Linked DNA regions of Arabidopsis thaliana. The protein of the gene in region 1 interacts with the protein of each later gene in a pairwise test. Each region holds a gene or a part of one and is shown in the gene's direction. Other genes may lie near its edges. The genes, in order: UNE16, HAM4, SOT12 and AT2G17150.

The links.
Region 2: the proteins of UNE16 (region 1) and HAM4 interact in a two-hybrid assay, tested with the Arabidopsis thaliana proteins (one large-scale study listed by BioGRID).
Region 3: the proteins of UNE16 (region 1) and SOT12 interact in a two-hybrid assay, tested with the Arabidopsis thaliana proteins (one large-scale study listed by BioGRID).
Region 4: the proteins of UNE16 (region 1) and AT2G17150 interact in a two-hybrid assay, tested with the Arabidopsis thaliana proteins (one large-scale study listed by BioGRID).

What each region holds. Positions count from the first base shown.
Region 1 is NC_003075.7:7,935,229-7,942,256, reverse strand, and holds UNE16 (Homeodomain-like superfamily protein), read left to right. Parts: upstream 1-3,611; 5' UTR 3,612-3,759; coding exon 3,760-3,943; intron 3,944-4,217; coding exon 4,218-4,294; intron 4,295-4,402; coding exon 4,403-4,457; intron 4,458-4,547; coding exon 4,548-4,626; intron 4,627-4,704; coding exon 4,705-4,774; intron 4,775-4,970; coding exon 4,971-5,393; 3' UTR 5,394-5,651; downstream 5,652-7,028. Other genes in the region: AT4G13650 (Pentatricopeptide repeat (PPR) superfamily protein), read left to right, coding at 1-2,646; AT4G13630 (zein-binding protein (Protein of unknown function, DUF593)), read left to right, coding at 6,228-6,777, 6,854-7,028. UniProt on the Arabidopsis thaliana protein: Transcriptional activator. Probable component of the central regulatory system controlling transcriptional responses to Pi starvation. Binds in a sequence-specific manner to phosphate starvation-regulated promoters.
Region 2 is NC_003075.7:17,302,304-17,308,977, forward strand, and holds HAM4 (GRAS family transcription factor), read left to right. Parts: upstream 1-3,454; 5' UTR 3,455-3,756; coding exon 3,757-5,217; 3' UTR 5,218-5,345; downstream 5,346-6,674. Other genes in the region: HVA22K (HVA22-like protein K), read left to right, coding at 5,466-5,528, 5,814-5,872, 6,286-6,383, 6,536-6,587.
Region 3 is NC_003071.7:1,147,056-1,153,375, reverse strand, and holds SOT12 (sulfotransferase 12), read left to right. Parts: upstream 1-2,712; 5' UTR 2,713-2,920; coding exon 2,921-3,901; 3' UTR 3,902-4,081; downstream 4,082-6,320. Other genes in the region: AT2G03780 (Translin family protein), read left to right, coding at 22-171, 278-479, 563-660; AT2G03770 (P-loop containing nucleoside triphosphate hydrolases superfamily protein), read left to right, coding at 1,531-2,505; AT2G03750 (P-loop containing nucleoside triphosphate hydrolases superfamily protein), read left to right, coding at 4,353-5,408. UniProt on the Arabidopsis thaliana protein: Sulfotransferase that utilizes 3'-phospho-5'-adenylyl sulfate (PAPS) as sulfonate donor to catalyze the stereospecific sulfate conjugation of 24-epibrassinosteroids. Preferred substrates are 24-epicathasterone and 6-deoxo-24-epicathasterone.
Region 4 is NC_003071.7:7,465,009-7,474,950, reverse strand, and holds AT2G17150 (Plant regulator RWP-RK family protein), read left to right. Parts: upstream 1-3,364; 5' UTR 3,365-3,776; exon of another isoform or gene 3,777-4,077; intron 4,078-4,256; 5' UTR 4,257-4,417; coding exon 4,418-5,251; exon of another isoform or gene 5,252-5,532; coding exon of another isoform or gene 5,533-5,601; coding exon 5,602-5,649; intron 5,650-5,728; coding exon 5,729-6,737; coding exon of another isoform or gene 6,738-6,820; exon of another isoform or gene 6,821-7,063; coding exon 7,064-7,902; 3' UTR 7,903-8,264; downstream 8,265-9,942. Other genes in the region: AT2G17170 (Protein kinase superfamily protein), read right to left, coding at 1-215; AT2G17160 (Interleukin-1 receptor-associated kinase 4 protein), read right to left, coding at 939-1,004, 1,239-1,427, 2,165-2,197; AT2G17140 (Pentatricopeptide repeat (PPR) superfamily protein), read right to left, coding at 9,211-9,337, 9,634-9,942. UniProt on the Arabidopsis thaliana protein: Probable transcription factor.

The sequences.
Region 1 (7,028 bases):
CCGAATGAAGGAACTTTCAGTGGTGTTTTGGAAGCATGTCGTGGTGGTAGTGTTGCTTTTGATGTAGTTGAGCAGATTCATGCAAGGATTTTATATCAGGGCTTGAGGGATAGTACGGTTGTGTGTAATCCTTTGATTGACTTGTACTCTAGGAATGGGTTTGTGGATTTAGCTAGAAGGGTTTTTGATGGGTTACGTCTGAAGGATCATAGTTCTTGGGTTGCAATGATATCCGGGCTTTCGAAAAATGAATGTGAAGCAGAAGCCATTAGATTGTTCTGCGATATGTATGTTTTAGGTATCATGCCAACGCCTTATGCGTTTTCAAGTGTTTTAAGTGCGTGTAAGAAGATAGAATCTCTTGAGATTGGTGAGCAGCTTCATGGGCTCGTATTGAAGTTAGGGTTTTCCTCCGACACTTATGTTTGCAATGCACTTGTGTCTTTGTACTTTCATTTGGGAAATTTGATATCAGCAGAACACATCTTCAGTAACATGTCACAGAGAGATGCAGTTACTTATAACACTCTTATCAACGGGCTTTCTCAGTGTGGTTATGGTGAGAAAGCTATGGAATTGTTCAAAAGAATGCACCTTGATGGACTTGAACCAGACAGTAATACTCTTGCGAGCCTTGTGGTTGCATGTTCAGCTGATGGAACTCTGTTTAGGGGACAACAGCTACATGCATACACAACTAAACTTGGTTTTGCTTCAAACAACAAGATTGAAGGTGCGCTCCTTAATCTGTATGCAAAATGCGCTGATATTGAAACCGCCCTTGATTATTTTCTTGAGACTGAGGTTGAAAATGTAGTTCTCTGGAATGTGATGCTAGTAGCTTATGGGTTATTAGACGATTTAAGAAATTCTTTTAGGATTTTCAGACAGATGCAGATAGAGGAAATTGTTCCAAATCAATATACCTACCCGAGTATTTTGAAAACTTGCATACGACTTGGGGATCTGGAGCTTGGAGAACAAATCCATAGTCAAATAATAAAAACTAACTTTCAGCTCAATGCCTATGTTTGTAGTGTGCTCATCGATATGTATGCAAAATTAGGAAAGTTGGATACTGCCTGGGATATACTTATAAGGTTTGCTGGAAAAGATGTTGTGTCTTGGACAACAATGATTGCAGGTTACACGCAATACAATTTCGACGACAAAGCTTTAACAACTTTCAGGCAGATGTTGGATCGAGGGATTCGGTCTGATGAAGTTGGATTGACAAATGCAGTTAGTGCATGTGCTGGTCTTCAAGCCTTAAAGGAAGGACAGCAAATTCATGCTCAAGCTTGTGTATCTGGTTTCTCATCTGACCTGCCATTTCAAAATGCACTGGTTACACTTTATTCTAGATGCGGAAAAATAGAGGAATCGTATTTAGCGTTTGAACAAACTGAAGCTGGAGATAATATAGCATGGAATGCTCTGGTATCCGGATTTCAGCAGAGTGGAAACAATGAAGAAGCACTTCGTGTCTTCGTTCGAATGAACAGAGAAGGAATTGACAATAATAATTTCACGTTTGGGTCTGCTGTGAAAGCTGCTTCTGAGACAGCTAACATGAAACAAGGGAAGCAGGTTCATGCTGTGATCACCAAAACCGGATACGATTCAGAAACCGAAGTTTGCAATGCTTTAATCTCTATGTATGCCAAGTGTGGGAGCATTTCTGATGCAGAGAAGCAGTTCCTTGAAGTCTCCACGAAAAATGAAGTTTCGTGGAATGCGATAATTAATGCTTATTCTAAACATGGGTTTGGTTCTGAAGCACTAGATTCTTTTGACCAGATGATACATTCTAATGTAAGGCCTAATCATGTGACGCTTGTGGGAGTTCTATCAGCATGTAGCCACATAGGACTAGTGGACAAGGGGATTGCATACTTTGAATCCATGAATTCAGAATATGGATTATCTCCTAAACCGGAACACTATGTGTGTGTAGTGGATATGCTAACTCGAGCTGGTCTTTTGAGCCGTGCGAAAGAGTTCATTCAGGAAATGCCTATTAAGCCAGATGCCTTGGTCTGGAGAACACTTTTGAGTGCTTGTGTAGTGCACAAGAACATGGAAATAGGAGAATTTGCAGCGCATCATCTCCTAGAGTTAGAACCTGAAGACTCAGCAACATATGTTCTTCTGTCAAATCTGTATGCGGTGTCCAAGAAATGGGATGCTAGGGATCTTACAAGACAAAAGATGAAAGAAAAGGGTGTGAAGAAAGAACCGGGACAAAGTTGGATTGAAGTTAAAAACTCAATTCACTCTTTCTATGTTGGTGACCAGAATCACCCGTTAGCAGATGAGATACATGAATACTTCCAAGATCTTACCAAACGAGCATCTGAAATCGGGTATGTGCAAGACTGTTTCAGCCTATTGAATGAACTGCAGCACGAGCAAAAAGATCCAATAATTTTCATCCACAGCGAGAAATTAGCAATTTCATTTGGACTCCTTAGCTTGCCTGCAACAGTGCCTATAAATGTAATGAAGAACCTACGTGTTTGCAACGATTGCCATGCTTGGATAAAGTTTGTATCTAAGGTATCAAATCGAGAAATCATAGTGAGGGATGCATATAGGTTTCATCATTTTGAAGGAGGTGCTTGCTCTTGTAAAGATTACTGGTAAGAGCCAAAGCCTGGTAGCTCACTCGCCTCTTTTGGGAAGGTTAAGTCTGTGTTCCAAAGTTCGAGCTCTGGTTCTCGCTCAAAGAAGGAGATCATGGACCAAACCTTACGGGTAAGCTGAATTCTCAGCAATGATATGATACTAGACGATATACTTGAGCAAAGAGTATTATCCTGAAGGAAAGAATAGTCACATGACTGTTCTTGAGGAAAAGTTGGAGTTGATGCAGGAGTTGATCATGAGCAAAGGAGACCATCGATGACTTAACAAAACGAACCACTCCTTTGTTTCTACTACCATTGCTAAGTAACTATCACTATCTTTCATACCCCATCCTTTTTTAGGGGCTTATATATGTGTACATATTACATATATACGTGCATCTATGGCTTTAAAATTGATGAATTGTAGATTAAGAGAAAGTGTCTCAAAATAAAGATTCTATGTTGCCAAGAAACAGAGTCTCTCTTTATGCATATGAATGATTGATGTGCTTCTGATTTCTTAATGTTTTATGTGGCTGAATTTGGAAACTGCTATTACATAAACAAATTTTGTCAATAGTAATATAAAAATTAAAAAACTAAAGCTAAAGAATACTTTTTTTCTCTTGAATTATATAAAAGAAAAATAATTGGAAAAATGTCTAGTAGGTTTAAAGGATTTGATATTTAAAAAAAAATTGAGGACCCTATTTTTTTCTTTTTTCATTTGGTTTATTTTAGCAGTTAGCACCATCTTAAGATAGAGAACTTGAAGTTTTATTCTGCTATTGAAAAACGAAAATAATAACTAAAAGAAATTTTATCTTACTACTTTTTCAAAACATATATGTTATTTGGAATTTCAATGCAAAGAGTACAAATAACCAAAACATAAATTCTGCTCTCTCTTTTTTTTTTTTTGAAAATATCTAAATAAATTCAATAATGCACAAATATAAACACAAAATACTATCCGAGTGTTGTCTTGTCCAATCTATCAACTCGTTTCTTCGCTGTCTTAGAAATCCACAATATCTTTCTTCACACTTTCTTTCACTTTCCCGGGAAAACAGCCGAGAAAATAAAAGAAACGAAGAAAAGTTTGTTCCTTTGTGGGGATCAAAGAAGAATGTACTCGGCGATTCGGTCTTCGCTTCCTCTAGATGGCAGCTTGGGAGACTACTCTGACGGAACCAATCTTCCCATCGACGCTTGTCTGGTCCTAACCACTGACCCCAAGCCTCGCCTTCGTTGGACCTCTGAGCTCCATGAAAGATTCGTTGACGCCGTCACTCAGCTCGGCGGACCCGACAGTAAGTGTCCCTTCTTAGAAATTTATGGATCTTAGAATGAAATGTGTTTTTTTTTTTAATCTGTTGTTCTTCAGTTAGTACGAAGAATTTGACAACGAGTTAGGTCTAATTTCTTTCAGATTTGGAAGTCAATCATCCTGAAATAGAATGGATTTCTTGGGTTTATGTCACTTAGAACAATTTAGGAATTACTGTGGCATTCTTTAGGTTTTTTTTATTGGCCTTGAGATTTGTTTACAAGATTAGTTTTTTTGTGTGTTTGGTTTGATGTCAGAAGCAACGCCTAAAACTATAATGAGAACAATGGGAGTGAAGGGTCTCACTCTTTACCATCTCAAATCTCATCTTCAGGTTTTGATGCTACTACCTTCAATATCAAATTATGCTTCTTTGGCTACTTATAACAAACAAAGTTCATTGCTTTTTGACTGTGTTGTTCTCTGGTTTTTTGCTCGGTAGAAATTCCGCTTGGGGAGGCAATCTTGTAAAGAATCAATTGACAACTCTAAGGATGGTATTCAGTTATATCTTTAGCTAAGAATCCATTTATATCTTTATGGATTCAGTTGTGCATTTATATCTTTGTGAACTTATATCTCTGTAGTTTCTTGTGTTGCGGAGAGTCAGGACACTGGTTCATCTTCAACATCATCCTTAAGATTGGCTGCTCAAGAACAGAACGAGTATGGTTTCAAGTGTTCTCTTTATTCCAAGTGTTATATTCACTGTCTATAACACTCATTGTTTTTGTCTTGAGCCAGGAGTTACCAGGTCACTGAAGCTTTGCGTGCCCAGATGGAAGTCCAAAGAAGACTACACGAGCAACTAGAGGTTAGTTTCTTCTTCGAATTCACCAAATACCAGAGAGACTTTGGTTAATGAGAGACTATATAGAAACCTCCATTGAATTTCCTTAAAGCTTATCAGAACGTTACTACTTAGGAAATCTTTTCATGAAAGTTAGAACCATAGAAACCGCATATACTAATGTTTGAGCCCTGGTTCCACATTTAATAAGATCCATTAGTATACGCAGGTGCAAAGGCGACTCCAGTTAAGGATCGAGGCACAAGGGAAGTACCTGCAATCAATTCTAGAGAAAGCTTGCAAGGCTATAGAGGAGCAAGCTGTTGCATTTGCTGGGTTAGAGGCAGCTAGAGAAGAGCTTTCAGAGCTAGCCATAAAGGCCTCCATCACCAATGGGTGCCAAGGAACAACAAGCACCTTCGACACAACCAAAATGATGATTCCATCCTTATCCGAGCTTGCAGTAGCAATAGAGCACAAGAACAACTGTTCAGCAGAGAGCTCTCTGACTTCCAGCACTGTAGGAAGTCCGGTATCAGCTGCGTTGATGAAGAAGAGACAACGAGGAGTGTTTGGAAATGGAGATAGTGTGGTTGTTGGTCATGATGCTGGATGGGTTATGCCTAGTAGTAGCATTGGATGAAGTTAGCAAGAGAGAGAGAGAGAGCGAGACCAGATTTTAGCTTATTTAATTTTGCTATGTTGTATTTAACTCTAAACTCTGTCATCAAACTTGTCTTAGCGTCTATGTATATATTTGTTGAATCTGTAGCCTCTCTTTTAGTTTGTGTATTTGCTTCAACTTTTTCTAAGCTTGCCTTCTTTTTTCTTTTTTGGACAAACCTAAATATAGAATTTATGTAATTGTATAACATAAAAAATACTCATTAAATACTCATAACTTATCTCCATGCTATAGATTGGATCTTGTCTACAAATTAGTTGGCACACATTTGCGTAAATGCACAAATTTGATTACGTGTGTAAAATAAAATGTCAAAGAAAAAAAAAAAAATCTCAAGAGGAAGAGAGTGATGGGGTCGGCGATAAAATGACGGCGTATCTGCTCACTCGTACGGTGATTTGCAACTGAAGTTTTGAAAACTAAAAAAGAAGTTTTGATTTTTGAACAAAGAGAGAAAATAAAAACGGCAGAGGAAGAGCCGTTTACGTTGTGCTTGCTTCCCCAAGATTTCTCAACTTCTTCTTCTTCGTGTGAGTTTCAATTCTCTAATTTACTAAAAATTAATCAAATCGCAAGGAGTTTCTCTGTGTTAACGATTGATTCATCGTTGAGTTTTCTCTGTGGTAACGATTGTGTTTATATATAATTTGATTGATTGATTGATTAACTTACCAAATTAGTCTTAGATTTGGATATATGCTTGTAATTGATTCAAATAACAATTTGATTCTCTAACCAATTTCTCAAACTTTGAGTAATTTCTGTAGATTATTGTATACTTGCAGGTATAAAATGCGTTGCCAGGAGGTAAAATCATGGACATTTAAAGGTTTAGTGGCTGCGTTTATCGATCTTTCCGTTGCGTTTTCGCTACTTTGCGCATCGTTTATCGTTTATGTAACATCGAAGTTCCTCGGTTTATTTGGTTTAGACCTACCATGTCCTTGTGATGGTCTATACAGTGAGTGTTTTCAAGAGAGTTTAAGGAATCTTCCGGTTAAAAAGATCTCTTCTGTTCAAAGATCTGTTAAAAATAGAACACCTTTTGATTCAATTCTGTATAATGGTGGAAAGAAGAGAAAATGTGAGCGTAGACGTGTTCAGTTGGAAGATGAGGTATCTAGTACTACTCCTTCTGTTGGAAAGTTTGAGAATAAGGCTTCAGGGTTCGATCTTTTAACTGCGCAAAGTTTGAAAAAAGGAAGCTTTAAAGTTAAGAGTAAGCGGCTTAGCTTCCATAGGTCGCCGTATGGTTTCAAGAACCATTACCAAAGTTGTTTAGGCCTTAAGAGCTTTGAGGGATCATATGATGAAAATGATCCTCTTCTTGTGAACTCCAATGGTAAGTTTTTTTGTTGTCTTTATTCAATTATATTGGATAGTGAATGTTGATTTTGATGCAAGTTGTAACATTGTAGATAGTGGAAAAGCATTGGAGGATGTGTCGTTGCGGAAAAGTGTTTCACTAAGTTCTGTTGGGTGTGGAGTGGGAGAGGGTGCATGCAGTTCCCCTGGTATGGTACAGAGGACGGTTGAGATGTCAGAACAAGTGCTTGGGGAAGAACGAGCTGCACGTGCTTCGTTAGCTCTTGA
Region 2 (6,674 bases), 9.4 Mb from region 1:
CAGCTTTATTCACAGTATCGAAAATACATAAACAAAATTTTAGTTAGAAAATTGTAACTGAATTAAAATTAAATGATTTACATTTGACAAAAAAAAAAAAAAAAAAAAAACAAATCTACACCAAATAGAATAATGTTTACTAAATCATTACGAGACTTACCAATCGATCGACTTAGTATAACACACATATATACTTATATATTTTTATATCAACGGTCTAATTTAATACTTACTCAATAATTTATAGCTACAATCAGTCGATCCAAAATTTAGATTAAATTCTTGTAGTATGCATACGGATAGTTATAGAAAAAAAAATAAACAATGAAAAGTTAAAACAATTTCTCCGTTACTACTTTTCATTCTTGTGGGAATGATATTTTAATGGAGAACGATCTTTTATTTTTACTATTTAAGTATTTTATTTATTGTGAATGACATAAAATAGGAATCTACTAAAAAAAATTGCTTTTGTGAGGATGAAGCTTCTCTCTTTTGATTAGAAGGAAGAAGCGTCTGTGTGTAGTCTATCATCGGCCTCTCCTTCCTTTCCTTACTTCCTAAGTATTATGACCTTTTTGTGTAGTGGGGTTTGAGAAATTATCTCCCAAGAAAATACACAACTGTCTCTTTTTCTATTATAAAATTTAGATTTTATTACAATTATTATATCAAGAAAAAATATTACTACCAGATAGTTGTACAAAACACTATATCACCATTTTACGTTGAATTTTGACATGTTAACTAAAAGATTGGATAATCAAATCATGTCTTTAATTTTGGTTTATTTTAATCACAGGATACTAAACACACAAAGTTTACAAATTCATAACCTTCAAATTAAAAACAACTTATGAGAATTGAATAATATGTTTTGGCGATATTATATTATTACACAGGTTCTCAGCAGTCAGCACAACAACTTAAAATTTTCTTTATCAAAAACAGTTTATGAGACATTATACTTAGTATAAATCACGGTATACATATTATAAAACTACCAACACAGAAACGAATAATAAGAAAGAAACCTTTGGCAGTGGGACAATTTTGGTAACGAGAGGATCCATTGGTCGATCAGTAAAAGAATATTGTCAGAGTGGGAATATAAGATATGATCGTCATTCATTTGTTTTTAATATACAATCACGTGTGTTAATAAATAGAACTTGTATTAATTACCAACATTATTTATGAAATATTCTTTTCTTTTTCGACAAACTCCAATCATGTGTAGGGAAGATATTGCCATATTTGGAGACGTTAGTGTATATGCAGAATAATTATCATTCATAAATTGTATTGCATATAATTAAAACGTTCGTTACCCAATATCAGATGGATTTAAATAAAATAGTTGTACACATAGGGCCATCATTTTTTCAGGGAATTAGCTGTATGAACGAGAATCAAAAGTGATAGTGTAATGATTTTCAAGCTAACAAGACGTAACATTTTGGTGGTCTGTGGACGAAATAATTTCTGAGCATAATGAAAACATTGGTCTAATACTGGCATTTTATTATTATTATTATTATTTTATTATTTGTTTAAAATACTGGCAATTCAATCTAACAAAAAAAAGGCAACTAATTTGGCGAGTGATTTCAGTTCGATAAATCATTGATTATTTTTCTTGCATGTTCCACATATATAAACTATAATATTATGGTATTTTATGTATGATCCTCGAAAATAAACTAACTAGTTGTTAAGCATGAGATTAGGATACAAGTGGATCCCATTGCATGTAGGCGTTCATACGGTGGAATATTAAACTTGATTATTTCTCTTAAATTTTTAAAACATAACAGAAATGTGGGCTTAATCATTAATTTAATGAGAAACAACTAAAAAAAGTTGCCACAAAAAGAACTTTTAGTATTTTAGTGTGTTAATTGAGCCGCTATACCGCATAAAATCTAAATTATATAACACAGATGAAGACTTATGTAAGAAAAAAAGTTGAATTATGTTAGGAAAAAGGTGTATTAATGAGAGGAACCTTTTCTCCACGATATTAAAGGTTGAATAATGTCTCAATGAGAAGAAGCTTTTCTTCACGAGAACTATATGATGTTTAAATTTCGCAAACTAGGCCATATTTTGCGAAAATGGTGAGTTATTAACCTAATATGATCAAACATTCCTAATTACACAAGGAAAAAAAAAAGAGAGTATATTCAAAAGATTGAGGAAATGGTTTTGCATTCTGGTACACCAAACCAAATAGAAAAGAAAGAAAACAAAAAAGGAAGGTAAATTTCCATGAAAATGAAAGCAATAAGTGAAGGAGAGAACATATTCTTTCTTTTTCCTTTGCGAGTTAGAGAGAAGAGTGGGGGGCTAAGCAAAAGAAAGAAGTGGGCGTGATTCTTACGCGCTGACTTAATGATCAGTCAATCTCTGGCCCATGGGCTTCTCGGTCATTTTCTCCGACATTATTACCTCAAAAGTTAGCCCATTGTGGACCCGCTTACTTTCCCCCTGCTTTTTACCGTGTTATGTGGGCTCCACATAAAGCCCAGTGGTCACTCCCTTTTTCCTTTCCTTTGTTTTTTGTCGCAAGCAGCGGGGATTAGTGTCCGTTAAACATCATCGACTCAAATTGTTTCATGCAATTTTCCCCTTTTTTATTGGTTATCAATCGAATAAACCTCTCTAGCTTTTGTAACTAGTTTGAGATTATTATGTGATATATGCACGGTACTAAATAAATACATAATATTGTATTTTGTGTGGTACTAACAACTAGGTTTAGTGAGAATAAAAACGACGTTGTAGAGTTTGTTTAGTAAGAATATTTTTGTCCAACACAAACTACTTTTAAAAAAAAATTCCAAACGTTGATATACCTATTGCCTATTGGAATAATCAACGCAGATTCATAGTTTTTTATTTATCTCCATACTTGGGTCAAAAACGTATGAGATTTAATGATCGAAAACAATATCCACAAATATGAAATATTTTAACGCTGATCTCAAACTCAGGTACAACATAGTTACATATAGCCGTGCTGCTATGTTTGAGAAAGATTATTTTTGATCACTTAAATTGTCATATGTAATAAAAAAAAACTTTCAGTTAAATGTTTTTGTAAAATACTGTTTAAAATTTTAGGATGAAAAAGACTGAAAAAAAACCACTCAGACAAAAAAAAGAGAGAAATCATTAACCTTTTTAAAACATCCTTTTTCTCTTTTATTTTCAACTTTCACATTCTTGATGATCAACATAGTGGAGCTTGGATCTCTTTTCAATCAAATGATTTATTTTTATTTTTAAAGCAGAGGAACTTTATTTGTATTTTATCCCTTTAAAGAGCTGTAGAAGTTTCCTTTTCATTAGCTACAGAAGTTGCTAGTTGTGCATAGTATATAGTTTTGGAGATATATTATGAGAAATTAATACAAAATAAAAACTGATTTAAAATCTTTCAGTTGAATTTCATGTGAAATAGTATGTTATTAATAAAAAACGGAATCATATACAAATCATTGTCAATCAGATTGTTTCGTGTATAAATATTATTCTGTAAAACCAAACAAACCCGGATCAGACACGGTTACCAAAGTTGAAATCTCTTTATTTGCACGCACTCACTCAAAGATAAAAAGCTTACCACTCTCACCTTTCAAAAGCCCCGCCACCTTCTTCTTCTCCCACACACAAAGAAAAAAGACAGAAAGAAAAAAACTTTTTTTCTTTTCGTTAAAGGCTCCACCTTTCTTTCTTCTTAACACACAACACATGAAAATCCCTGCATCATCTCCTCAAGACACGACCAACAACAACAACAACACTAATAGTACTGATAGTAATCACTTATCAATGGACGAACATGTCATGCGTTCAATGGATTGGGATTCCATCATGAAAGAATTGGAGCTTGATGACGATTCTGCTCCTAACTCACTTAAAACCGGTTTCACCACAACCACAACAGATTCTACTATTTTGCCTCTTTACGCCGTCGATTCAAATCTCCCTGGCTTTCCCGATCAGATTCAACCGTCGGATTTCGAATCGTCTTCCGATGTTTATCCTGGTCAGAACCAAACAACTGGGTACGGTTTTAATTCTCTTGATAGTGTCGACAATGGAGGATTTGATTTCATTGAAGATCTCATCCGAGTCGTGGATTGTGTTGAATCGGACGAGTTACAACTCGCTCAGGTGGTTTTATCACGGCTTAATCAACGCTTGAGATCTCCGGCGGGTAGACCGTTACAGAGAGCTGCGTTTTACTTTAAGGAAGCTCTCGGTTCGTTTTTAACCGGATCAAACCGGAATCCAATCCGGTTATCTTCTTGGTCCGAGATTGTTCAGAGGATCCGAGCGATTAAGGAATATTCCGGGATTTCTCCGATCCCTCTCTTCTCTCATTTCACGGCGAATCAAGCGATACTCGATTCGTTGAGCTCGCAGTCGTCTTCTCCGTTTGTTCACGTGGTGGATTTTGAGATTGGATTCGGTGGCCAATACGCATCGCTTATGAGAGAAATCACTGAGAAATCTGTAAGCGGTGGATTTTTAAGAGTTACGGCAGTGGTGGCGGAGGAGTGCGCCGTAGAGACGCGACTAGTGAAAGAAAACCTAACTCAATTCGCGGCGGAGATGAAAATTCGTTTCCAGATTGAGTTTGTGCTGATGAAGACTTTTGAGATGTTATCTTTCAAAGCGATTAGGTTTGTTGAGGGGGAGAGGACCGTCGTTTTGATTTCCCCGGCGATATTTCGTCGTCTAAGTGGAATCACTGATTTTGTTAACAATTTACGGAGAGTATCACCTAAGGTCGTTGTATTCGTGGATAGTGAAGGATGGACGGAGATCGCCGGATCTGGATCATTCCGGCGAGAGTTTGTTAGCGCTCTTGAGTTCTACACGATGGTGCTGGAGTCGCTCGACGCTGCAGCTCCTCCCGGAGATTTGGTGAAGAAGATAGTGGAAGCGTTCGTTCTACGACCGAAGATCTCCGCTGCGGTAGAAACGGCGGCTGACAGGAGACACACCGGCGAAATGACTTGGCGGGAAGCGTTTTGCGCCGCCGGGATGAGGCCGATACAGCTAAGCCAGTTCGCCGACTTTCAAGCTGAGTGTTTATTGGAGAAAGCGCAAGTTAGAGGATTCCACGTGGCGAAACGACAAGGAGAATTGGTGCTGTGCTGGCATGGAAGAGCACTTGTTGCCACATCAGCTTGGCGGTTTTAGATAAACCGGGTTTGGTTTAACAATATGATATAGAATAGAATAATTGTATTTACCGCCTTTAATATCTCTTTTCTTTTTGCTGTTTATCTTTCAAATAAAGAAATAAAAATATTTCTTACGAAGAGTCTCTGTATGAGCTAGAGTCTTTTAATGATTCATAATCTCCTCTATTCAAAACACAAGTGACCTTTTTTTTGCGAGTGTGCGAGTTCGTCGTCAATTTGGTAAAACCGTCGTACGAATCGCCGATGAGCGGGTTTGCTTCACAGATTCCATCCATGGCGCTTCTTGGATCTGGACTCACCGGCGAGGTAATCTTCCTTTAGTTTGATTGATGTTTCCGATTGTACGGCTTTTGTTCCGATCCGTGATTTGGGGATTCGTGATAAAGTTTATGATTAAATATGTATATTTAGGATTCCTTCATCTTCTGCCTTGTTGGAATTCAGATTTCTTCTGTACTGGATTGTTTTTTTGTTTGGATTACTCTTTGACAAAAGCCGATTAGAGAAAGAGGTGTTTCAATTCCTGATCATGTGGATATTCTCAACTTTTGGATTGAGAGAAACAATTGTTTTTCTCAATGGAATTTTCAGGTTGGGTTGCGTGTATTGTTCTCTCCACTTAGTTCCAATATCGTACTTCGTACAGCATGGTGAGTTTTTTTTATTGTAAGGTGAAGAAAGCCATATAGTTGCTAGAATCAATGGTACAGGTAGACGAATGAATTGGAGGAATGATTTGATTGGTGAGATTGTGATCTGATTGAGTGATTCTCATTACATGTGAAGCAATGGGGTAGGGAGGGAGTTTTTTTTTTTTTTTTTTTTTTTGTTGACATAGTTATTAACTTAGCCGAGTGGACAAGGGTTCTATTCTACTTGTTGTGATACTTTAGGGTATCTTTTGGACAAGGGTCAATCTATTGTTGGGGAATCTGGATTCTTTTTGTTTTATCCGAGTTTTTGGTTATTTTCTCTATTAGAAGGTGTTATAGCTGTAGTTGACTAAAGGATTCGGTTATAAAGGACACGTTTGTGTGGTATGTCTGAAACTTGTTTCCTGCAGCTGCTCCATTGGCATCGGTTTGCCTGTGTACTCTACCTTCAAGGCAATTGAGAGTGGAGATGAGAATGAACAACAAAAGATGCTTATTTACTGGGCAGGTGGGATATTGTTACTGCAATTGTTATGACCTTTCTAATTGCTTTCCTTATTCTTTGACTGTTTATCTTCAATAGTTTTTTTTCAATCTCCCTTGGCCTTCTTTCACATGGAATTTGATGGGGTTTTTTCTCTATCTTCACCTTCTTTGCAGCTTATGGTTCTTTCAGCCTTGTTGAAGTGTTCACGGACAAGATCATTTCCTGGTATGATTGACATCTTGAAACTATATACAATATCTTGATGGTTTTGCTGTTATGTTAGACAAATAAGATATTTCTTCTAATGGACTT
Region 3 (6,320 bases), on another chromosome or scaffold:
GTGGTTTTGTGTAACTTACAGGTGCAGGAATATGTTGAAGCTGCAACGTTTTATAAGTTCTGTTTGTCTGGGACGCTATGTACTCTCGATGAGATTAACACAACGCTTGTACCACTTAGTGACCCTTCTTTAGAGCCGTTGCAGATCAATATCCTCGACTATATTCTTGGGGTATTTTTTAGACCATCTTTATTTATGGTTAATACTTACTGTCAAAGATGTTCTCTATTGTTTGGAGTTCTGAATTATGTTTGATTATTGTTTGTTACTTGCACAGCTTGCAGATTTGACGGGAGAGCTAATGCGGATGGCAATTGGTCGCATATCAGACGGTGAAATCGAATTCGCGCAGAGGATTTGTCAGTTTGTTCGACAGATTCATAGGGAACTAATGCTAGTTGTGCCAAAGATGGATGACAGTTATGACATGAAATCCAAGATGGAAGTGATGCTTCAAAGTGTGATCAAAATAGAGAACGGTATGCACAAATCTCATATCCGCACACTATTAGATACCAACCAATACGTTTTTGTAACTCTTTTTTGTTTGTTTGTTTATTAGCTTGCTTTAGCGTTCACGTGAGAGGATTAGAGTATATTCCACTGCTTGGAGATAATGCACCAACATCATACCTATTGGGAGCTGCTGATGTCGAATGATTAAAAGTGAGTGGTCTTTTCCGTCTCTCGGACACATTTTAAAGTTCTTGTTAAGGTTGGTGTGTTTGCGACAAGTAGGATCGTTTTAGTATGGACTTATCTTCAGAGAATTTTAGCCACTTCTTACTTCTGAGGAACTTTAAATCTGTATGCTGCAAGACTTTTAAGAAACAAATGGTTAGAACTAGATGTAAAACTTTTCTTTTGTTGAATGGAAGCTAATTTATAATAGAATCTAGCAATTACTTTATTATTCAAGTTAATAATTTTGGCCCTTCTTCACTTTTTCTAGATCTTTCGTAATCCAGAAAGTACATTTTTTGGTTCTTGCTGTTTGTTTGTGCTTAATGAGGAAACATATATAGATACTCTTATCTTTTATGCAGCTACATATAATGCATCTTATTATAGTTCGACATTTGGTACTTTTATATAGGATTTTGACATTTTTTATAAATTTATATCTATCATTCATAGATAGAGTTTTATTTTGAAATCATAAATCTTTCTTTTGTAAAGAAAGTGATAAAAATAGAGAAAAATCTCACATTTTAAGATGTTCATAATCTAGTTATATATAGAGTTATGTGCAAGCAATACCACAATAGTACAATCTGTGTGATATGATTATTGGGTTTTGATGTTTTTCCTTTTTATTTTTAAGATTTCATGGCTTATATAAAGGATTTTTATGCTAATGAAAACACAACTTCCAACAATTAGCCTCTAAGAGAGACTTGGGTTAAGAGGAAGCTTGCTTTAAATCTCTTTGTTCTTTAAGCTTGAGCACTTCTTTGCAATTCAATCATTACTGAGATAACAGAGGGTCCATTTACAAAAGCAAGAGCAAAAGCTTTGGCTCATATCACTATGACAAAATCCGAAACCACTCTTTCGAAGTTATTGGTAGAATCTGAGTTAGTCCAAGAATGCGAGGAGTTGCTGTCTTCTCTTCCGAGAGACAGAAGCGTTTTTGCAGAGTATCTCTATCAATACCAGGGATTTTGGTATCCACCAAATCTTTTAGAAGGTGTTCTATATAGCCAGAAGCATTTTCAGGCCAGAGATTCAGACATCGTCCTTGCAAGCATTCCTAAGTCAGGTACAACTTGGTTGAAATCACTTGTCTTTGCTTTGATTCATAGGCAAGAATTCCAAACCCCTCTAGTATCCCATCCTCTGCTCGATAACAACCCGCATACCCTCGTGACCTTTATCGAAGGTTTCCACCTTCACACTCAAGATACTTCTCCTAGGATCTTCTCTACACACATTCCTGTAGGGTCACTCCCTGAGTCAGTTAAGGACTCGTCCTGTAAAGTTGTGTATTGCTGCAGGAACCCGAAGGACGCGTTTGTCTCACTTTGGCATTTCATGAAAAATTTGATTGTTAAGGAGATGGTTGGATGCACAATGGAGGAAATGGTGAGGTTTTTTTGCCGAGGGTCTAGTATATACGGACCCTTTTGGGATCATGTATTACAGTATTGGAAAGAAAGCCGAGAAAACCCGAAAAAGGTTATGTTTGTAATGTATGAAGAGATGAGAGAGCAGCCTCAGGAGTGGGTGATGCGGATCGCCGAGTTCTTGGGATATTCTTTTACAGAAGAAGAGATAGAGAATGGAGTATTGGAAGATATCATAAAGCTGTGTAGTCTTGAGAATCTGAGTAAATTGGAGGTTAATGAGAAGGGTAAGTTACTGAATGGAATGGAGACTAAGGCATTTTTTAGGAAAGGAGAGATTGGTGGATGGAGAGATACTTTAACTCCTTTGTTAGCAGAGGAAATTGATAAAACCACTAAGGAGAAACTAATTGGTTCTGATTTTAGATTCTTTTGCTAAGAATCTGCTTTACCAACTTAGTTCTCAATTTCTTGAGCTTTTTTTTTTCTTCTTTTTATTGGCTTAATACAAGTAAGGTTGTTGACTTGTTGTGATGGACCAAAGTCACCAAACTGGTCTGTTGAGAAATAAAACTATTGTTTTTGAGTTTTAGACATAAGAGTCGTGATTCTCCTTCTTTCTTGTTTTGTTATCTTTAAATATTATATTCTACGTGCTCTTCAAGTAAAGGATGTGTTGACCATTTCACCACCCAAACTAATATCTTAGAAGCAAAAGCATTGTGAAATTTACTTGTAGAACAACCTTCTCATTCATATATAAAAGCAGACAAGCATTAGCATCATAGATACATAGAGAGCTTAAGCAAAAGATCTCATACTTTCAAGATTGATCGATCTCTCAAGTCTCAACAATGTCATCATCATCATCAGTTCCTGCTTACTTGGGAGATGAAGATCTGACACAAGAAACAAGAGCTCTGATCTCTTCTCTTCCTAAAGAGAAAGGTTGGTTAGTGAGTGAAATATATGAATTCCAAGGACTTTGGCACACACAAGCTATTTTACAAGGAATCTTGATCTGCCAAAAACGCTTTGAAGCTAAAGATTCCGACATTATCCTCGTCACTAATCCTAAATCAGGTACCACTTGGTTAAAAGCTCTTGTCTTTGCTCTCCTTAACCGACACAAGTTTCCAGTTTCTTCTTCTGGTAACCATCCTCTTCTGGTCACCAATCCACACCTTCTTGTGCCCTTCTTGGAAGGAGTTTACTACGAGTCCCCAGATTTCGATTTCTCCAGTTTGCCTTCTCCAAGACTGATGAACACGCACATATCGCATCTTTCGCTCCCCGAGTCTGTTAAGAGCTCGTCTTGTAAGATTGTGTATTGTTGTAGGAACCCTAAGGACATGTTTGTGTCCTTATGGCATTTTGGGAAAAAGCTAGCTCCTGAGGAAACCGCGGATTATCCTATCGAAAAAGCGGTTGAAGCGTTTTGTGAAGGGAAGTTTATAGGTGGACCCTTTTGGGATCATATATTGGAGTACTGGTATGCAAGCCGCGAGAATCCGAACAAGGTCTTGTTTGTTACTTACGAGGAGCTAAAGAAGCAGACCGAAGTTGAGATGAAGCGGATCGCGGAGTTCTTGGAATGTGGCTTTATTGAAGAAGAAGAAGTGAGAGAGATTGTGAAGTTGTGTAGCTTTGAGAGTTTAAGTAATTTGGAAGTTAACAAAGAAGGGAAATTGCCAAATGGAATAGAGACTAAAACTTTCTTTAGAAAAGGAGAGATTGGAGGATGGAGAGATACTTTGAGTGAGTCATTGGCAGAGGAAATTGATAGAACCATTGAAGAGAAGTTTAAAGGTTCTGGTCTTAAATTTTCTTCTTGAATCAATCTTTGAAACTTGTTCTCATGTTCTTGTTTTGCTTCAATTATGTTATTTCTTGTTTTATATATTTTTCTGCTGTTATGTTTGTGTTTGTGTTTATGAATAAAATGAAATAAATTATGTTTGTGTTTTCTTGAATCATACTATTATCTTTTAGAAAGAAACAAAATTTTGTCGCTCACTATCACATTTAGATTTAAATTTATGACACCGCACATGCACTAGCCACTAGACACTAGTACACGACTAAACTACAATTCCAAAGAGTCAAAATCTATCAAGTATTTTTTTTTTTTCAAGATAAGATTTCTTATCGTAATATAGGAAATGTGTGGCTTAAGATCCACGCATGATTAAAACAAATCCCTAAACACTTTGTCTATGAAATATAACCATCTGCTTGTAAGGTCAAATTGTTCAAAGCATCAAATAAGTAAATAAAAACTCTTTTATGTTCACCTTTTTCACTATCCTCTCTTTGTGTTTCAAATCGTGGGAACAAATTATCACAATGGAGGCTTCTAAAGAAGCTCATCACCTTCCAAACTACATGAAAGACGACAACGTTAGTCAAGAAACCAAGAACTTGATCACTTCTCTACCTTCAGACAAAGATTTCATGGGTTATGGTCTCTACAACTACAAAGGTTGTTGGTACTATCCAAACACACTCCAAGCCGTTCTTGACGTCCAAAAACACTTCAAGCCACGAGATACTGATATAATCCTCGCTTCTTTGCCCAAAGGTGGAACCACTTGGCTCAAATCCCTAATTTTCGCTGTTGTACATAGAGAAAAGTACCGCGGAACCCCTCAAACACATCCTTTGCTCTTACAAAACCCTCATGACCTTGTCCCATTTCTTGAGGTTGAGTTATACGCTAATAGCCAAATTCCGGATCTCGCAAAGTATTCTTCTCCTATGATCTTTTCTACACACATGCACTTACAAGCATTGCGTGAAGCCACCACAAAAGCTTGCAAAACCGTATATGTGTGTAGAGGTATCAAAGATACGTTTGTCTCCGGCTGGCATTATAGAAACATGTTGCATCGCACCAAGATGGATCAAGCCACTTTTGAGCTCATGTTTGATGCTTATTGTAGAGGAGTTCTCTTATATGGACCTTATTGGGAACATGTATTGAGCTATTGGAAAGGGAGCTTGGAAGCAAAGGAGAATGTTCTTTTCATGAAGTACGAAGAGATAATTGAGGAGCCTCGTGTTCAAGTCAAGAGACTCGCCGAGTTCTTGGAATGTCCATTCACCAAGGAAGAAGAAGAAAGTGGATCGGTGGAGGAGATCTTGAAGTTGTGTAGTTTACGAAATTTAAGCAATTTGGAGGTTAATAAGAATGGGACAACGAGAATTGGTGTAGATTCTCAGGTGTTCTTTAGGAAAGGTGAAGTTGGTGATTGGAAGAATCATCTTACGCCACAAATGGCGAAAACCTTTGATGAGATTATTGACTATAGACTAGGAGACTCCGGTTTGATATTTCAATAAGGTTGTGTTGTGTTTTTTTTCTTTTGTCATCCGAAAATAAATTAGGACTCAAACGAGTCATTCTTGAGAAATGTTATGTTGTATTCTTAGCTTTGAAATTCCATGTTTCTTCTTTTTATGAACTTAGTTGAGTCAATTTTCGCTAAAATAATTTGTGTACTAATCAGTTACGTAAATATAAGAACATTAGAACCAAAAAAAAAATATAAGTTAGAAATTATCTTGTGGGCTTTAAAAGTCTTAATGGGCCTGACAATTGCTAATATTCGTTTTAGTCGAAATATCATAGTTAATTAGTTATCAATGCTTTTTGAGTGTCTTAGCTGATTTTAAAAAGTTTAGTTTTTGCTTGTTTGTCTTTTTAGGTGTTTATGAAATCTATTGAGGAAGTTTATTCGTCAAATGGTTAACGGTTCATCTATATGAATATTTTGGATTATGGGTCTAGATTAGTCGACTCAAATACTCTATCCTAATGATATTTAAAAAATAAAGAAGTGTTAGGACAAAAATTATTTTCAAAAAAATTGAATTAATAGTGAACGAACATAATCATGTTTGAAAGTTCTTCTATTATTGAGATCATTCAGACAAAAATCTTACGTGTCGATAGAATCAGCATCTAGTCAGGATGATGACTTGTACCATACATCTATGGCTATATATTTTGATTTAAAGTTATTTTATTTTATTTTTCTTTTTAGAAAATAAAACAAAGTCGATAGTTCTCCTGAGAGTAAGCTCTAAGAGAAAAACATATGAAGTTAGAAATAAAAAAGGAACTAGAAATTATAGAAATCGAAAACTCGTACCACGAGTTAGACCAACAACCAACTTAAACACTACTCAAAAAAACTGAAAAATATAAAACGCGCGATTGAACCGTAAAAACAATCACTCTATAAGTTTGAA
Region 4 (9,942 bases), on another chromosome or scaffold:
CCTTTGTAGACAACATTGGAAGATTCTTCTGCGTTCTCTGATATGATCTCGTCGGAACTGAAGTTATTGGTCGCCGTGGTGATATCGGAGAGGAAGAACTCTGTGACAGGCCAGTTGACGAATCCGTCGTTCTTGCGTTCGCCGGGAGGAATCTGTGGCTGTTGTGGAGGTTGTTGATTGTTATCAAGAGGCGTCGAGAAGCAACAACCACCCATGGTTTCGTTTTCGCCGGCAAAAGCAGAGAGAATATTGAAAGCGTTCTTTGCGAGAGAGAAAGAGAAAGAGATTGTTATCACTAACAAGTGAGTTTACACAAAGGAAAGAACCTTTTATAACAGACTATTATCCCTAAAATCTAAACTCAAGATTACGCAATCTTTATCGTTGATCTTCATCTTCTAGTTATTATTATAGTTTTTTGTTATATATTTTCCTTGTTTTTTCACTAGTGGGTCAAAATTATATTTTCATATTTAGGAAGTTTGAAATTGCATGGTGGTGTGACAAGTGGATTTCAAAGGTGTATGATATTTTTTTTGGTTAATTATTTGAAAACTTTTTTAGTAGAATTATAGTTTTGCTAGTGATATTGTTAATTAATGAGATAAATTCATTTGAACCCTTTAACAAAAAGAAGAGAGAAATGTATACGTATTTTTTTTAATATATAACAAGGGTAAAAGATATCACTTCTTTTTTATATTTTTTAACATAAACTCAAGATTCTTCTTCCCTAACCATGCATGTTGTTGGATCTCTTTGCTTCGAGAAGTGTTGCTTTGTTAAAGCTACTAGCAGATTCAGTGTGGAAGATGATTCTTCTGCTTAAATTTTCCATATTAGAAGATGGAACCTGCAAGCAAGATGATGATGATCTGTTTTTTAGTACGAAAACTCATAAAGAATTCATTAAGGGTAACAATAAGTCCTATTCTTACTTATGCTTTAGTTTGACTTGAAGATGATGCCTCCAGATTCTGCTTTGTCATTTCAGAAGTTGGAATCTGCAAACAAAAGATCGGTTTTATAACTTAAGAAGAAGTTGGAATCTGCATACTTAAGAACGCTAAACAGTTCAAACTGTTGTTGTTGACTGGAAGATGCTCCCACCTCGTGCTACTTTTCCAGTTCAAGCATTTGAATGTTTGGAATCTGCAAGCAAAACGATAGGTTTTATAACACGAGTGCGAGAAATATCATCAAGAATGCATATGGTTATAGTAAGCCTAGCTCCTTACGTGTGGTTTAGTTTGCAAGGCTTTAAGTGTTGCAACAAGCTCTTTTGTGATGAGACTTTTTCTATGTTCGCACTGCAAACATTCAGAGGCGAGTTTGAAAACTAGGAAAGCTTCTTCTGTTGAGAACTTTCCCTTGAGATTTGGATTCATCAGCTCAGTAACAAACTTTCCGTTTCTCCTCACAGGAGCCTAAAAATAGGAGGATAACAACTCAGTAATATGTGTCTTGTGTGGCAAGAAATTAAGGATTACTATATCACAACTAATTTACTCAGCAGAAATGTGACTTGTGTTGCAAGGAATTGAAAAAGACAGATTCTCTAAGGATTAAAGTCACAAAGTCAAGATGAATGGCTTACATGGTTTGAAACAGAATGGCTTACATGGCTTGGAGGAATTCGCTTTCCAGTTAGCAGATTCACAATGATATTTAGTACCAAATCAATGTCACACTTTTAGGGTTCACGATTCCTACAATAAGAATATATTATATAACATCACATTCAGATATGAATAGTATGAAGAGACAAGCAAGAACTGATTACCTCTTGTTCTTTGACTTCAACATATCCATTAAGCAAATAAAAACAGTTAAGCATACTTAATTAGATCATTAAGAAGGCATAAGCTTGAAAATGTTGTTTCGTATACCTTATCAAACAGAACCGAGTAAGCACTTAAGTTACCGTACGATAAAACATGTATTATTCCAATAATCCAATGCTTCTATTCGATTGTACGGGAAATTATTATATGTATCTTTGAAAACGCCTTGTATGCACCAAGATAAGGACATAAAATTTAGTTAAATCACACCGTTTTCATTACAAAAATGTGATATCATCTTATCATGGGCATATATATATATTTTACAGGTTTTTTTTTGCTCACACAAAAATTGTTCATACAATCAGTAATTACTTTACCTCAGGGTTTGGTCTCCTAGCTTTTGTACCCATCATACTCAATCACGAGATGGTTTGACATCACACGACTTACGCTATACATAACGATTAATGAACATAATTTAGTTTTTCTTTCTTTTGTCTCGGATCGATCAATGATATTGATCTTATATGATATCAAAATCTTATAGTACTGGCAGTGAGATTAAAAACACTAATTTTAAACGACATTATTGTTACATGTGTAGATAGGACCTGCCGTATTCAGACGAATAACAAATGACAAATCTAAGAAATAGAGGAAGAGAGAGAGAGAGAAAGAGACGTCGTGCGCATTTATAGTATAAAGTATAAACCTTTGATTATTATTGATACGTTATTTATGATTTACACGAGGATTCAACTATTTTCAAAGAGTTTGATGACCTTTGGTTTGGTCATGTCATTGTCCCGGACGCGGCTAATGGGGATCGGACTATGGCTCCCCAAATCATTGAGGGCCGTTTTGATCATTTAACTAAGCGTCTAAGCCCGACCCGTTGGATATCAATGTACATATTAATATATTATATACACAAATATTCAAGTTTAATCATTAAATTTGGTTGAATGATGAAACCTAAGATGAATGATTTGTTTCTTCTGTTCGCTTTTTTTTTTTGGGTTTGTTTTTATATCGATTTAGATAATGTGTAACATTGGGAAGTTCACAACCTGTCTAGTTAGCACCCAACTTATGACAGTAATTTTTGTCATGAAATTAATAAAATGACGACATTTTGGAACATAAATAGCAATTTCATGTGTAAGAATAAATATTACCATAATTGTGTGAATCATTATGCCTTTAATGCAATTATTTATATATCGATCATATATAGATTCCATCCTATATACAAAATGTTTTAAACTTTGAGACTCGAGCTGATGTCAGAAAGAATATTCATATAAGAGAAATCGAAAATAAAGTATTAAAGGTCAAACTATATTGATGAACGAACGAACCTGTTCAACACGAAAGACATGTCTTCTCTAAGAAATGATCTTGATCCGATTGATACAGCCAAGTTCTAACCAATGAAACATCCCCGAATAAAAAAACACAAAGTACCGACGAAGAAATAAAACAAAGTGTACGCATACGTAATCACCACAACTGTTATAGTAATAATAATAATAATCTTATACGAATTAATTATGATTAGGGGCAACAAAGAGGAGGTCAGAATAACACCAATCACACGATTAAATAAGAACATTTAACCATCAGGCTCCAAACCAAAACTTAGAAACTTGTTTTTTTTTTTTGTTTCCTTCTTTGATCTTTCTTTCAGAAGAAAAGATTGATTTAAATTTGAGAAACCAAGCGACTGTTTGTTTACTTTCTTTATTATTACAGATTTACAGGTACAGACAAAGTTGTATGTAAGTGTGATTAGAACAGTGGATGCTCTTATCACGGGTCCACTTGCTCTCTAAAAAGAATATTGAAGCTCATAATTACATCTTTAGAGACTAAAACAATCTTAATCATTCACCTTCACCAAGTACTTGTGTCCAGAAGAAAAAGAAGGAAAAAAAGAACACACCATTCAAGAAAGAGAGAAGCTTCTTGTGATAAGAAATTTCACAGGTTTTGTTTTTGTTTTGTTTATATATATTCTCAGATTTGATTTTGCTTACCATTATATGTATGAAGAAATAGAGAGACCAATTACTTTTTACATTAGACAGAGTAAAATCCAGTCTGTGCATCTTCTCAATGTTTTTTTTTTGTTTGTTGGTGCTTTCTCTAAGTGTTCTTGGGTATAGGTCCCAAAGTGAAGCTTTTTCTGTTTCTTTGTGCAAACAAATCTTGATAAAGTTAGTAACTTTTGGTGAAAATCTTACCCTTTCATGGACAATCAGATTTGATTTCGTTTCCATGTCCATAGGTGAGAATTTTGTAATTGAAATTGATGGCACTCTACTTTGATTGATGGATACCTTCTTAAGTCAACTCTTCATTGAAAGCGAAGCTACTTATATAGATTATATAGCATCTCTATGATATGATTCTTCTCTTGTCTTATTCTTGGGTGGGTCTTTGACAATGTTTCTGCAACTTTTTCAGATTGGGTTTTAACATTCCAAGGAGAGGACTTTGTCTTGTCTCTATTCATCTTCAAGACCCTTATGAGTTTCGGTTCTTGAGTAAACAACAGCTAAGCACAGTCTCTGAGAACTTGAGGATTTGGTAGTATCTGTTGGAGGTATAAAAACGAATCTTTAGACATGGAAGATGATGGTGGTAGTGATGGAGGCGAAGGAAATGGTGGGTTTTCACCTAATTCTAGCTTTGGGGCATTCGCTGACACTGCCATGGATTTGGATTTCATGGATGAACTCTTGTTTGATGGATGTTGGCTAGAGACAACAGATAGTAAGAGCTTGAAGCAGACAGAACAATCTCCTTCAGCTTCTACCGCCATGAATGACAATAGCCCTTTCCTCTGCTTTGGTGAGAATCCATCTCAAGATAATTTCTCTAATGAAGAAACAGAGAGAATGTTTCCTCAGGCTGAAAAGTTTCTCCTAGAAGAAGCTGAGGTGGGAAAAAGTTGGTGGATTGCTCCAAGTGCAAGTGAAGGCCCGTCTTCATCTGTGAAGGAGAGGCTACTACAAGCTATTAGTGGTCTTAACGAGGCGGTGCAAGATAAGGACTTCTTGGTTCAGATATGGGTGCCAATTCAGCAGGAAGGGAAGAGCTTTCTTACTACTTGGGCTCAGCCACATTTATTCAACCAAGAATACTCCAGCCTTGCAGAATACAGACATGTTTCAGAGACTTATAATTTCCCGGCTGATGAGGGTATGAAAGATTTTGTGGGTCTTCCCGGTCGTGTTTTCTTGCAGAAGTTTCCTGAGTGGACTCCTGATGTGCGTTTCTTTAGAAGAGATGAATATCCACGCATCAAAGAAGCACAAAAGTGTGATGTTCGTGGTTCACTTGCCCTTCCTGTTTTCGAAAGAGGTAGTGGGACTTGTTTGGGTGTTGTTGAGATCGTCACAACAACTCAGAAGATGAATTACCGGCAAGAACTTGAGAAGATGTGTAAAGCTCTTGAGGTTTTGCCTCTACCTCAAACTACTCTATAGATCCCGCAACGCTTACCTCACATGTTTAGACCCATACAACCAGTAAACCTCATGCTTGAATGTATCTTTCACTGGATGGCTTTCTCTGTTTGCTCATTATTCAATTCCTCACATTTGTCCAGTTTGTTTTTTGGTTTTCTTTAGAGTCCAACAACATCTTCTGCATACGTTTGTACTTTGATTGTTCTACATCTTTCTTTCTGCATCATGTCTCCTCCTGTCAGTCATTCAGCCATAATCTTCTTTGATTAATGTCTGTGATAACAGTGAGAAGTTTTGTTTATGTGCCACAACAGTCTAAAGACGCTGCTGTTTTGCAGGCCGTCGATCTAAGGAGTTCAAGTAACTTGAACACTCCAAGCTCTGAGGTGCATTAACTGGATTCTTAGTTCATTCAGCTCCTAGAAACAACGATATGCATTGCTAAGGTCATACTCCATGTTTCAGTTTCTGCAGGTCTATAGTGATTTCTACTGTGCTGCATTACCTGAAATAAAAGATTTCCTGGCCACAATCTGCAGATCATATGATTTTCCTCTAGCTTTGTCATGGGCGCCGTGTGCTCGGCAAGGGAAAGTTGGTTCCCGACATTCTGATGAGAACTTCTCTGAGTGTGTTTCAACAATCGATTCTGCTTGTTCTGTCCCCGACGAACAGAGCAAAAGTTTTTGGGAGGCATGCTCTGAACACCATCTGCTCCAGGGGGAAGGCATTGTTGGGAAAGCATTTGAAGCCACCAAACTCTTTTTTGTGCCCGAAGTGGCCACATTTAGCAAGACTAACTACCCCCTTGCACACCACGCCAAGATATCTGGACTACATGCTGCTTTAGCAGTTCCATTAAAGAGCAAATCTGGTTTGGTTGAGTTTGTGTTGGAATTTTTCTTTCCGAAAGCATGCCTTGACACTGAAGCGCAACAGGAAATGCTCAAGTCACTATGTGTGACACTGCAGCAAGATTTCAGGAGTTCAAATCTTTTCATCAAAGACCTAGAGTTAGAAGTCGTATTACCTGTAAGAGAGACAATGCTCTTCTCAGAAAACCTGCTATGTGGAGCAGAAACCGTAGAGTCGTTGACAGAAATTCAAATGCAAGAATCCTCATGGATCGCCCACATGATAAAGGCAAACGAGAAGGGTAAAGATGTATCACTTTCTTGGGAGTACCAGAAAGAAGATCCTAAAGAGCTCTCATCTGGCCGGGAGAACAGTCAGCTTGATCCAGTCCCCAATAATGTTCCTTTAGAAGCTGAGCAATTACAGCAAGCATCAACTCCAGGACTCAGAGTCGACATCGGTCCAAGCACAGAATCAGCTTCGACTGGTGGGGGAAATATGTTAAGCAGTAGGAGACCAGGGGAGAAAAAAAGAGCAAAAACAGAAAAGACCATTGGCTTGGAGGTTCTTCGACAATACTTTGCTGGAAGCCTCAAGGATGCAGCCAAGAGCATTGGTGGTAAGAGAATGTTGTACACTGCTGGTGACATAGCCCCATTCTTTATGAATTTTGATTCTTATTGTTTCTTGGGAAAAGCATAACCATTACGTTCATTAGTCAAAACCCAAAACATTCCAAATGAATATGTTGAACAAAAATTCATGCCTCAGGATATGTGAAAACTCCATGGCCAATATACATAAATATCAATGAAACCAGAAGTCAGTCTTACATTATATCTATGTGGTAGTGGATCAATCATCATGCTCTACAAACATTTTCATCATGGCTATTTATCTGTCTCTCAGACAGTGATCTGACAAGGTTTCGTTCTTGTGTTGCAGTTTGTCCAACTACCTTGAAAAGGATATGCAGGCAACATGGAATAATGCGATGGCCCTCCCGAAAAATCAAGAAGGTTGGGCATTCGTTGAAGAAACTCCAACTAGTTATGGACTCTGTCCAAGGTGCGCAGGGCTCTATCCAACTCGATTCATTCTATACAAGCTTCCCAGAGTTGAACTCCCCAAATATGTCTAGCAATGGCCCTTCCTTGAAGAGTAATGAACAGCCAAGTCATTTGAATGCTCAAACCGATAATGGTATTATGGCAGAGGAAAACCCCAGGTCACCATCATCTTCTTGCAGCAAGAGCTCTGGTTCAAGCAACAATAATGAGAATACTGGAAACATTCTAGTTGCTGAGGATGCTGATGCGGTGTTAAAGAGAGCTCATAGCGAAGCACAACTGCATAATGTGAATCAGGAGGAAACAAAATGTCTTGCAAGAACCCAGAGCCATAAAACATTCAAGGAGCCTCTTGTTCTTGATAATTCATCTCCATTAACAGGTAGTAGCAACACGAGTTTAAGAGCTAGAGGTGCCATCAAAGTGAAAGCGACATTTGGTGAGGCCAGAATACGGTTTACCTTACTCCCGAGTTGGGGCTTCGCAGAGCTGAAGCAAGAGATTGCTAGGCGTTTCAACATAGATGACATTTCCTGGTTTGACCTTAAGTACCTGGATGATGATAAGGAGTGGGTTCTTCTGACATGTGAAGCGGATCTCGTGGAATGCATTGACATATATAGATTAACACAGACCCACACAATTAAAATAAGTCTGAACGAAGCTTCTCAAGTCAAGCTAAGTGGTTCTTTTGGCAACACTGGTCTTTCCTGAAAAACATTAAACGAAGTTTTGTAACTGCAAAGCACCAGGAAGATTCTACTGATTTTTTTAGCTTTTGTAGAAATCTCACTTACCTTTTCAGCATGGGAATCCTGTATAAACATATTTCCAGTTCCCTGAACAACATTTTGGAAGTGGCAGTAGTAACTGGTCTCCTGTATTGCCCTAGCAGATTTTTGTATAAAAGAGATGAATTCCATAGACTTGTATTTTATGCATGTACAATCTTATTGTCTGGTTTCTTAAACTCTGCAAGACTGGAACTATGGCGATTGAAAAATTCTGTGTGTTTCGCTTATTTATTTTTGGGACATGTCTGGTTACAGGATACTATCTAGTCCATGATTGCATTGATGTACATGGAAAATAATGTGCCGGGATTCAAGAATATCCATTTCATGATATTGATTATGAGATTAAACATTTAAAACTGATATTGTAAAAACAGGAAAAAATAATCTGTATGGCTATGTTTAAGAAGAAACCTAGTTCCAATTAAGCAGCTAACACTTGGTGGTCTTCCACGTTTTATAAAACTTAGTCTCTTTGTATCCCCACTACAAACTCCTACTGTTCCAGAACCAGAAAATGTGCCGACAGAAAGCACAAGAAAGCTTACATTTTCTCCAATAATGTAGATTGTGTTCCTCCCACCCAAAATTCAAAGTTGGGCTCAAATTCTTTATGAAAGCAGGCAGCTCTTATGTTTAAACGTCGTTCTAACAAGGATATATTTGTCCAGCCATGTCGTCTTGTCTGGTTCTACCAGCTTAGCTACAAAGACAGGAAAACAGAAGGTGAGGGTCCAATTCTAAAATATTTTTCCACTGAACATGAAGGTTATTAAAAATAGATTGGATTCCTCAACATTATCCGTGATACTTTTACCAGAGAGTTATATTTAGCTTCGTTAGAGATCTCTCAACCTTGTACATCACAAGCTACTATAAGGCTAACATCTTACACATGAGCATGGAGACAATGATCAAAAGAGTATGCCACAAGATCATTATTTGATTATAAAATTAAATACTACTGTCCAAAGTAGGAAGAAAATGAAGAAAGTGATGTGAAGTCCTACTCTACGTTACTTTAAATTGATTTTTGATTTAACGAGAATTTTGTTTTTTTGTCCAAAAGATTAGACGTGTCTACATCAGAAGGCTGTTGTATTTCAGACGTGTCTACAACAGTATTCGTTCTTACCTTTACCTGTCATCCTTGATGAGCTGCACCTCAAAAACTTGCTTGCGCCATCTGAACTTTCCCATCAGAAAGAAAACAGAGTCATGCAAATCCTTAACCATCGTCCTCCCAGTAGTCTAAGTAGTCAACTCTTGGAGGCTGAAAGCTTGATATATCCCCTTGACCCCATCCTTTTTTAACTCTTGACAGAGACCTTAACGCAATTCCACTACCGTCATCTCTGCAAAATAGCGATTGATAGAGAAAACATTCATTAGGTTTCCGACAAGACAGTTAAACCGATATTCTTAATGTAAACTCACTTGAAACCAAAGACTCTACTGCCTAATCATATACACGAATGCTTACTCCAAATCTTGGAATCTTTTTCTTTCCTCAAAAAACCAAACTTTAAAAGGAGAAAGCAGAACTACAAAACCTCCAATAAAAGCATCTTAAAATACATATTGAAACGGCGCCTATAACAGGAGAAACAATAAATGATGACAAACCAGAAGGAGAAAGTGTCATCCATACCTGTGTAATATATTCTGCCAGTTGTTTCCACCATTCTTATTATGCTTTTTCTGGTGTATATCCCTTGCATTTGGATCGACTTTGTTTGCTACTTCACCAACTGAAGCCATTTCCATCATCTTATCAGCAAAACTGTTTGCCTCTTTCTTGTTTCCCATCTTACCTAAGCCATCTATCACAGGCATCAATGCTGCAGGGTCAAATCCATATCCTCTGTCTATCATCTTATGCAAAATTCCACTAGCTACTTCTAGTTCATCCTTCTTACATAAGCTCTCAACAAGATCTTTATAAAGAAAAGTCCCCAAC